Linked DNA regions of Cricetulus griseus. The protein of the gene in region 1 purifies or fractionates together with the protein of each later gene. This does not show direct contact. Links are inferred from orthologs where the notes say so. Each region holds a gene or a part of one and is shown on either strand. Other genes may lie near its edges.

Region 1 (4,284 bases):
CTTCATAGCATCCAGTGTTATCACAGGCAAACTCCAATACCTCAAGCTACTCATGAATGGGCATGTGTCTCAAAAGCAAAATGGAAAAAGAGTAGTCTGTGGCATGTTAAATATTTTGAGGATCCTCAACATACTGAATTATTTTATTCCTATTTTACAGCTAAAAATAACAATATAAGGCGATTAAGTAAACAGGTGACTTATGAACTCATTACTGGAAAGTTGTGGAATTTTTGTTAAAGTCTAGAAATGAACTTTTAAGACTGAACCATAATGAGGTATACAAAAATTAATGTAATGGTTCTAGATTATATTACATGTGGAAAATTGCAATCAATCTAAATATCCAAGAATTTATTATTGGTCAATTCAACATATCCATAGACCGAACATAGCTCACAGGAAAAAGCCATAGTCTTTAACTGCTAAATGGTATCCGACTCCTAATAGAGACTCATGGTATTTGGGGGGGAAAAAGTGGATGAATATACAGTCACAATTATAAAAAGTGTTTTAATAGAATCGTGCAAATCAAGGGAAAGTGCCACAGAAAATGTCACCAAATTCAAACTCTCGGATTTGTGAGTCTACAGATATATTATAAAGGCAAACGTGTAAAAGCATAAATTAATACAAATACACAGATTCTTTTTCTATGTGCTAATGTATGCTAGGTAATCAATAAATACTAAGAAAGTAAATAAATGCATGAAAGTCATTTAAAAGTAAGTCCTTAGAGGAGAATAAGTGTGTTTTTTTTTATTTTGTTCTTTGCATTAATCTATTATTTAGCAAGATTTTGACAGTGGGTGTGAATTACCTTCGTAACAGGTAATAATATTAAAACTTGTGATCAATCTGGAAAATATAACTCAGAATGTTAGAGTAAAAGTAGAATACACATATATACTTCATGATCCAATAAAAAATGCGCCTGTTTCTCCATTATGTATATTATGGTCAAGTAAAAAGATTAATCAGAAGTTGCAAAAAATGACAGGTATAATTCATGAATGATTATTATTGGGGTTGAGTCTAGAATCTAGGTCACTTGCTTTCTAGACAAGGGGCTGCTCATGGCCCTAAGGTGTTTAGAATTCCTAAACATTAGTGAACAAATGCCAGTGTGGACACTGGAATATTGACAGCTAGGTAATCCTATACTTACAAGTGGAATAGTTTGCTACCTAACTTTGATGAATTATCAGAAAATGCAAAGTTCTAGGAAACAGTCATTCCTTTGGGAAATGTGTGAATTTCTTCCTTTCAGATCTGTGTGCACTGGAAGAGCACACATACATTATCCTAGGAGGATTCCAGAGTTCTCAAAATGTTTTGAAGGAGTCAGTGATCAATGAGAAAGAAAAGGAGTAAAAGAAATATCATTTACAAGCAATGATGGGGTAGGGTGGGGGTGTGGTGGTAAATAGGAGGGGAGGAAAAGGAACCATGCAAGTTCTGTCTTCCTCTTTTTTTTATTCCTGGAACATGTTAATTAATGTGCAAACAATCAGCTTTAGGACCCTGCTTTCTAAGTGACAGCATGAGAAAGACAAGTGTTAAAAACAGGGCATGAACTTTACTAGGGGTTAAGATATTTATTTATTTATTTATTTATTTATTTATTTTTATTTTATTTATTTTTCCTATTTAAAATACATATGAAATGCTATAAAAATAACTTACACTGTTAAAATGAAAGTTTCTCTTCCCATAAAATATGTGTTCCTTAGAGAAAGTTTGTAAAACTGTGAGAAAAGGCAGATTAAATACTTCTCTGTGCATTACACAATTATTGCTTAATTTAAAATTCAACTCTTCCTGAGTTCAATAAAATCAAAACCCCAACTTCATTAGCAAGTTCTCAGCATACCTGGGAAATAATTTCAAACTCTATAGGTTATTTCATTAAATTCCCTGTGAATCTCTTTGGCTGCAATTTCAAATGTACCTAACAAAGGGAAACAAAACAAAATACAGCCCCCCCTTTCCCAAACTAGAATCCCAAATATAACATTAGAATCACCATTCTAAGGGGCATGTCTCTAACACTCTCCAATCCCTTCACTGAAAGCAGTCTACACCATCAGCCAAAAGCCGGGCACTTTTTTAAACCTAGGTTTTGAAGTGATGAAAATATATTTAAGACTGAAATCATCATAAGTTTTCAAGACCTAAACAGATTTGGTCGCTATTATTTCAAAATCCAATGCCTTTTTGCCTTCCTTCTTTTGCATCACAATTCTAAAACAGTAGTCACGCTCAAAATTCAAGCGTGCAACTTGAGAAAGTATTTTCAAGAAAAGTTTTGACCTGTTCTCCTTATCAGGACAGGTAAGTTGCCCAAAGACTAAGGGAACAGCAAGGCTTGGTAGTTCACGGTTAGTTTTTCAGTATTGCCTGTCGCATAACACAGCAACACATTAGATACCCAGGAAGTCACTGATTTAACTCTTTTTTTTAACAATTAAAAATTAAATGAGTCACCAAACTACCTCTTGATCATCTCCACTGCCAAGGAACATGCAACTCAAGTGCAGGAGTCCTCAGCAATCATTGGGTGGCATCACGTGGAACACAAAGACGCGCCAACTCACTTCTCTATAAATACTAAATTTCCCAGCAACCGCTGAAGGAAACAATTTCTCCCTTTATTTCAACCTGCTCTGAGATGCAGGGAAGCGAGTCCTCATCGGTAAGAAGGGGACTGAAGCCTACTCGGTGAATCCTTCTCAGAGGCAGAGGAGTGAAAGCAGTGAGGTTTTATCACGAGTGGCTGCCTTCCACCCCGAGAGCTGCCCACGGATAGCTGGGGAGAGCGCAAGAGGGAGCAAGCAGGGAGAGTAAATGCTTACAGTTCCCAAAGTTAAATGAGAGTCCTCAGGCTTCTCGGTGCCTCTAGTTTTCTGTCAGGCGGGATCCCCTCACAGTTCCGACTTCAAGAAAGTCTTTTCTCCCTGGTAGGCGGAGCTAAGGAGTGGGCTGGTCTCACTGACTCTGGATGTTAAGGTGGAATTCAAGCCAGGGCGAGCTCTTCTAGTGGAGAGCAACATCCTAAATGTACGTGTTTAGTTTTCAGAATCGAGCCTTTAAAGTCATGATAAATGCTTTAAAAACGTGTGACCTAACTGATCCTAGATTTCGTGTGTGTGTGTGTGTGTGTGTGTGTGTGTGTGTGTGTGTGTGTGTGTGTGTGTGTGTGTGTGTGTGTGATACTGCTGCTTGTCCTTAAGCAGTCACTACTTCCTCTTTTTTCCCAAAGACTAAGAGCAGAGTTGAAAAGATAGTGAACTATGTTGAGCATTTTTAAAGTCTTTAGAAAGCTAAGTTCAAAACAAACACCTTCATCTAAAATAGATACATTTTGCAGTTGAACAGTGTTGGGCTACTTTAAAAGTCAAGCCTGCCCAAGCTTTTTTCTCCAAACTCCAAACTTCGGGAAAGACATGTCAAAGAACAGAAAGCATGTGTTCAGACTTAGAAACAATTACAAATGAGCCAGAATCCCAAGTTTGCGATACAATTTGAAGTATTTGATAAGTTGGAAGTGAAGAAAGTACAGGTATTACATCCCTTATAGTACAAGTTTGCTTGTAGCTCACACCTGTAATTCCAGCACTTGGGAGGTAGAAAGAGAGGAATCAGTGACTGCAAGGCCAGCCTAAGGTACATACTGAACCCATATCTCAAAAGCCCTATCTCAGATGACATGAGAATCCACGAAACACCATTATCCTATGTACTCTGGGCAGGAAGCTTGTAGTACTCTGACATATCAGCAATGGTCACCATTGTGCCCCTTCCTCCCAACAACTCCTCTATTCATCTCCTAATTAATATCATCAATGTTTTTATGAAGTACTTTTTTTTCTTTTCTTCTTCTCTTAGTTTGCTTTGTAGCACTGTGATAAAACTTTCTGACCAAAAGCAACTTGTGGGAAAAGGGTTTATTTGGACACATATCCTAGTCACAGTCCATCATGAAGAGAAGTCAGAAACCTGATTTCAAAGCAGAAACCTGGAGCAAGGAACTGAAGCAGAAACCAAGGCCAAATGCATTCTTTTAAATCTCATTTCATAGTTTATTTGTTTTGTTTTATGAGACAGGGGTCTCATGCAGCCTAGGCTAGACTCAAACAGAGCTGTCTAGCAAAAGGTGACTTTGAACTCCCAATTCGCCTGCCTCCATGTCCCTGGGATCATAGGTTCATGCCACCATGCCTAGCAATTCATATCATTACAGTTCTTAAATGTTCCTTTTTCAGTGACAACTAAAGCAAACAT
Region 2 (4,309 bases), on another chromosome or scaffold:
GCTATGCTTTGTCTTGGGTGAGCATTAAATTCAACAACTGTCTCTTGAGGACCCACAAAGTCAAAAGACAACCATGCCTAGCTGACTATTGTCTTGAGTGGCATATCTGAGGAGTCCTAGTCTTCAGGGGTTGTTCAGTGTGATCAAAGGGAGGTAAAACCTAGACTATACTTCTAGGCTCCTAAGTTGACATTTTCATTGTAAAAATCAATTATCTGGAGTGACATTTTGCCCTGATTCAGCCAACAATTAACAAGATCTCTTTATGTGAGCATTGGTAGCACACACCTTTAATCCCAGCACTCGGGAGGCAGACACAGGAAGATCTCTGTGAGTTCGAGACCAGCCTGGTCTACAAGAGCTAGTTCCAGGACAGCCTCCAAAGCCACAGAGAAACCCTGTCTCAAAAAACAAAACAAACAAACAAACAAAAAAGATCTCTTTATGGGTTAGAGCTGGAAAAAGAAGAAAAGTCTTTCTATAAATAGGGATTTTAAGAAGATTTGAGTAGATTGAGTAGAGGGAAGTTTCCCAGTAGAGCCCTGGCTTTGCATGAATGGGGCTCCAGGGTCAACACAAAGCTCACACCCACACACAAAGGAGATTCAAGTTGTTCAAGTGGCATATGACAAGAATGTGAAACCACTGTCATTAGTGTTAGGGACCTGAGGTGTGGCACCTTGATCCATGACACCCTTGTGAAAAGTCTTTTCCCTCTTGTTGTTCCAGTGGGTGTGGATATTTTCATCTGCAATCAGAGCACAGGGGTGGGGCCTTTTCCACTTTGCTGCCCCTGTGCTATCCTAGCACTGTCTACTAAGTAAATGAATGAAACACTTCCAAGTGGTGAGCCTACAGGGATGGAGACAATGGAAGGACAAGGGAAGGGACCTTGGATTTTTATGTCTGGTCTGAGACTTTCCACACTTACTTCCAAAAACCCAGGGAACTCCCTTTCCATGAGCACTCTGAGGTCCTCCTTTGTTAAGTAGTCTTTATCGCCCGCAAATCTGTGAAATGTAAGCATCATGGTTTCCATGGCATGCTCCATCTGAGACGGCATCTTGAAGAGGTCTGTTGAAACCTGTTAATGGACACAAAGAAAGAGTTTGCCTTAACCTTTAAACCACATGCTGGAAGTCTGTAGAGGGTGGTCGGAAAGGATAAAATAGGTCTAATCACCTTTCCAATAAAATTCAATCAATCTCAGGTCCTATTTGGGGTCTTTTGCTGGTGGCAAGACACTTCAGGTGCTGGACCTCAGAATGTGGGATTTGCCTGACTGTCAGCTTCTTTTCTCGGTTCCTAATCAAGATAAGAAGGCCTAACTTTCTAGAAAAGCAAGACAAGAGCTGCTCCTTTACTGGAAAGCACTGGATGAAAGATGATGTTTCCATATTTCCCCTGGCACTGAAAATGTGACTCTTAGAAATGGCTGAACCCCAACAAGCCACGAGTCCAGCCTGGTTAATACAGAAACTTCATCCCGCCACCCATGCCACAGGAGCCTGAACCAATACAATTTCAGAGATTAGAAATGTACTTACAGATGGACATGTCTGCTGGAAATGTATACTCTCCTAACGATCTGAACTTGTTCTCTGGCAGTCAGTGCAGCTGCTCTGCCTGAGTAAGCTTCATACATTCATTTTCAAGTTCAGCAGGGAAGGAATAGGTAAGAGGGTACACAAGCTCCTTTGGGTGCTGAATATGTTTCTGGTAGGACTATACAGAGCGTTTTCCTCATAAATTGGGGGTACAGTGAGAGAGTAAGGGTCTTTCCTGATGAGGAGTTTAAAGAGAGGAAAGGAATTTTAGGTCACCGCATGCTGGTATAATGAACTGGGACAAATGTTTCATCAAGACCCCATGCCTAATGGAGCTCAGTGTCCACATATAGTTTTGAGTACAGAAGGAGGGAGAGATTGGCTCCTTCCCCCACTGAAGAGCAATGATGGGAATTCGGGGTGTGCTTTGGTCTGATTCCTGATGCTGACAGATGCTTGTTCAGTACAGATCCCCAAGTTCTGAAACCCACCCCGACACACACTGAAACCTAGAACCTCACTCACCTGTGCCCATCTCCTATCACTGAACTACATCCCCCAGCTCTCTTTTCACTTTCTATTTTGAGACAGTCTCACTAAGTTGCCTAGGATGGCTTTAACTCAAGATCCTCCTGTTTCTGCCTCGTGAGTAGCTGGTATTGCAGGTCTGAACCACTAGGCCTGGCTTCTAAGTATTATCTTTTACAGAGTCAAAGGTGTAGTGCTGAAGGCTAGCACTGAAAAGTTAGATTTAAAGGTTGTAACTTGTTCCTCTTCGTCTCCAAGAAGGTAGAAGAACCAGCTACAGAAAATGCCACTTCTGAGAACACTGTCAATCAGGATCCGGCATGATTCATCTGCATGACTTGGATAGCAACAAGTTTACAATTCAAGGTGTCTAATGCCATGAAATTCAGAAGAGCCACTCCTTTTTCCCTCTCGTCCTGTACTGCTCAGATCCGCCCCACCTCCCCACTCCTAGATATGGGTTTTTGGCGGTGGCAGAGAGCTTAGTGGAAGTCTGCCTTGCTTGGATTGATTTGAAAGTGCAGGAATTGAACTGAACTGAGTAAGCCACCTAAAGAAGGATGTGGGGTGCCACCTCAGCCCTTTAACAATCCAGGAAAGGAGCCAGACACCAGTGAAGTTTAAAATGTCTATGTCCTCATTCAGAGCCAGAGAGCTCTCCTACCATGTCTGAAGGCGAAGATTCCAGATGACATCCCAGATGTTAGAACTGCGTGGACACCCATTGTACTTTCCTCACAGACATCAGGAAAGTGTATTGCAGAGCTAGAGAAGGAAGAGGAATGGCCAGGATAGGGATCCCCCAAATAGAAAAACAGTCATCTTAGTACTCTCTGGAAATGCAAGTTGATAGCCAAGGAAGTCCTGGCCTCGCTTGAATGTCCTCTTCAGGAGGGTGAGGTCAGGTTGCCTTAGCCAAGAACTGGTTCTCAGGTCTGAGGTCAATCCACTCCTTCCTTCCTTACCCAGCTGGTTATGAAGTGGCAGAGTCCCTTCCTGAAGCCCGTGTCTGCCCTTTTGTCCTTCCTGCTTGCCTGCCCTAGCTGTTTTGTTCCACACAGGTGAATAGAGCAGCTAACTGGCTCTCTGCTTGTTCAAGAGAACTTCAATAAGAACACAAGAGATAGGGGCTGGCCAGAAAAGGAAAATAGTTGAATTTCACAGGGGATGCCCTTGGTTCCAGAACAAGGAATTGTGCTGGAGAAAGTTTTAAAGTAAGGCCAAGGATCCAGGTAAGGTAGGGGAAGTCCCAAGAACTATGAACCTAGCACTCAGAGGTGCAATGGGGCTGAGGCAGGAAAAAATAGCCTTCTAGGCCAGTCTAGGCTGTATAGACTCTGTCTCAAGAATCAAAATAACAAATCAAAAAAGGAAGACAAAGGAAAACGTGATAATGAGGCTCTGTTGGATGACTGAACCACTCAGTACTTCTCCGGTGAAGTGGTCCCAGCCTAGCCTCCACTGTTTGGGTGGGGCTGTTATTACAACGCTCACTACAGACAGTTCCATAATCATTTACTAGAGTGCAAGCTTTTCAGGAACCTGAATCTGGCACCTGCACTCCACCTAACACCCCACAAACTCCACTCCAGATGGGTTGGGTCTTCCCCTTCTAGTTGGGTAATACTTTGTCACAAGGGCCTTGGGACTTGGTCTGAGAAGTAGGGGGCTCTGTTCAGTGTTGCTGACACCCCATTCCATACCTGGTATACACAATCAGATACAGTTCGAGACCCAATCTGCCTTGGCCCTACAGCTGCCTTAGTCCAGAACCACATATGACTCTGCTTCAGTTGAGAGATGACTAAATACCATTTGCTAAATGGATGGCTCAAAGTAGCTGAGATACAGATAAGACTATCCTTAGACAGCTGATGGCTTTGCAGCTCAGAGTTCAGCAGTTAGAGGAGATGAGTTCTGGGAAGGGCAGGGAAAGGGGCCTCAACAGGGTTCACCTATGAATGGCATGGCAGGGTACAGAGAGCACATTCCAAACACAAAGGAAAAAAATGTGTGTCCTGCTAAGCAAGTCTGGTCTGACGGCCATGCTTCTCACTCCTGCTCTTTCTCTTGTTTTCATTCCTCTCTCCTTCCACTGCCTCACTGGCTCCCAGGACAGACCTCTGGGCCCACTCACCTCTCCTTGAACTATTTTATTCTGATGTGTTTATGCCCTTCACATGTTAACTTGAGCAATGGGTCTCAACTGTCCCTCTCTGCAGAAAGCAATTCTG

What was found.
Region 2: the proteins of Pla2g4a (region 1) and S100a10 purify together in Homo sapiens (affinity purification with western blotting; 3 studies listed by BioGRID). This does not show direct contact. The link is inferred for Cricetulus griseus from reciprocal best matches to the Homo sapiens genes PLA2G4A and S100A10.

Annotation. Positions count from the first base shown.
Region 1 is NC_048598.1:41,524,624-41,528,907, reverse strand, and holds the start of Pla2g4a (cytosolic phospholipase A2), read right to left. Parts: upstream 2,987-4,284; 5' UTR 2,856-2,986; intron 1-2,855. UniProt on the Homo sapiens protein: Has primarily calcium-dependent phospholipase and lysophospholipase activities, with a major role in membrane lipid remodeling and biosynthesis of lipid mediators of the inflammatory response.
Region 2 is NW_023276806.1:62,480,646-62,484,954, forward strand, and holds the start of S100a10 (protein S100-A10), read right to left. Parts: upstream 2,841-4,309; 5' UTR 2,743-2,840; coding exon 2,740-2,742; intron 1,306-2,739; exon of another isoform or gene 1,183-1,305; intron 1,085-1,182; coding exon 932-1,084; intron 1-931. UniProt on the Homo sapiens protein: Because S100A10 induces the dimerization of ANXA2/p36, it may function as a regulator of protein phosphorylation in that the ANXA2 monomer is the preferred target (in vitro) of tyrosine-specific kinase.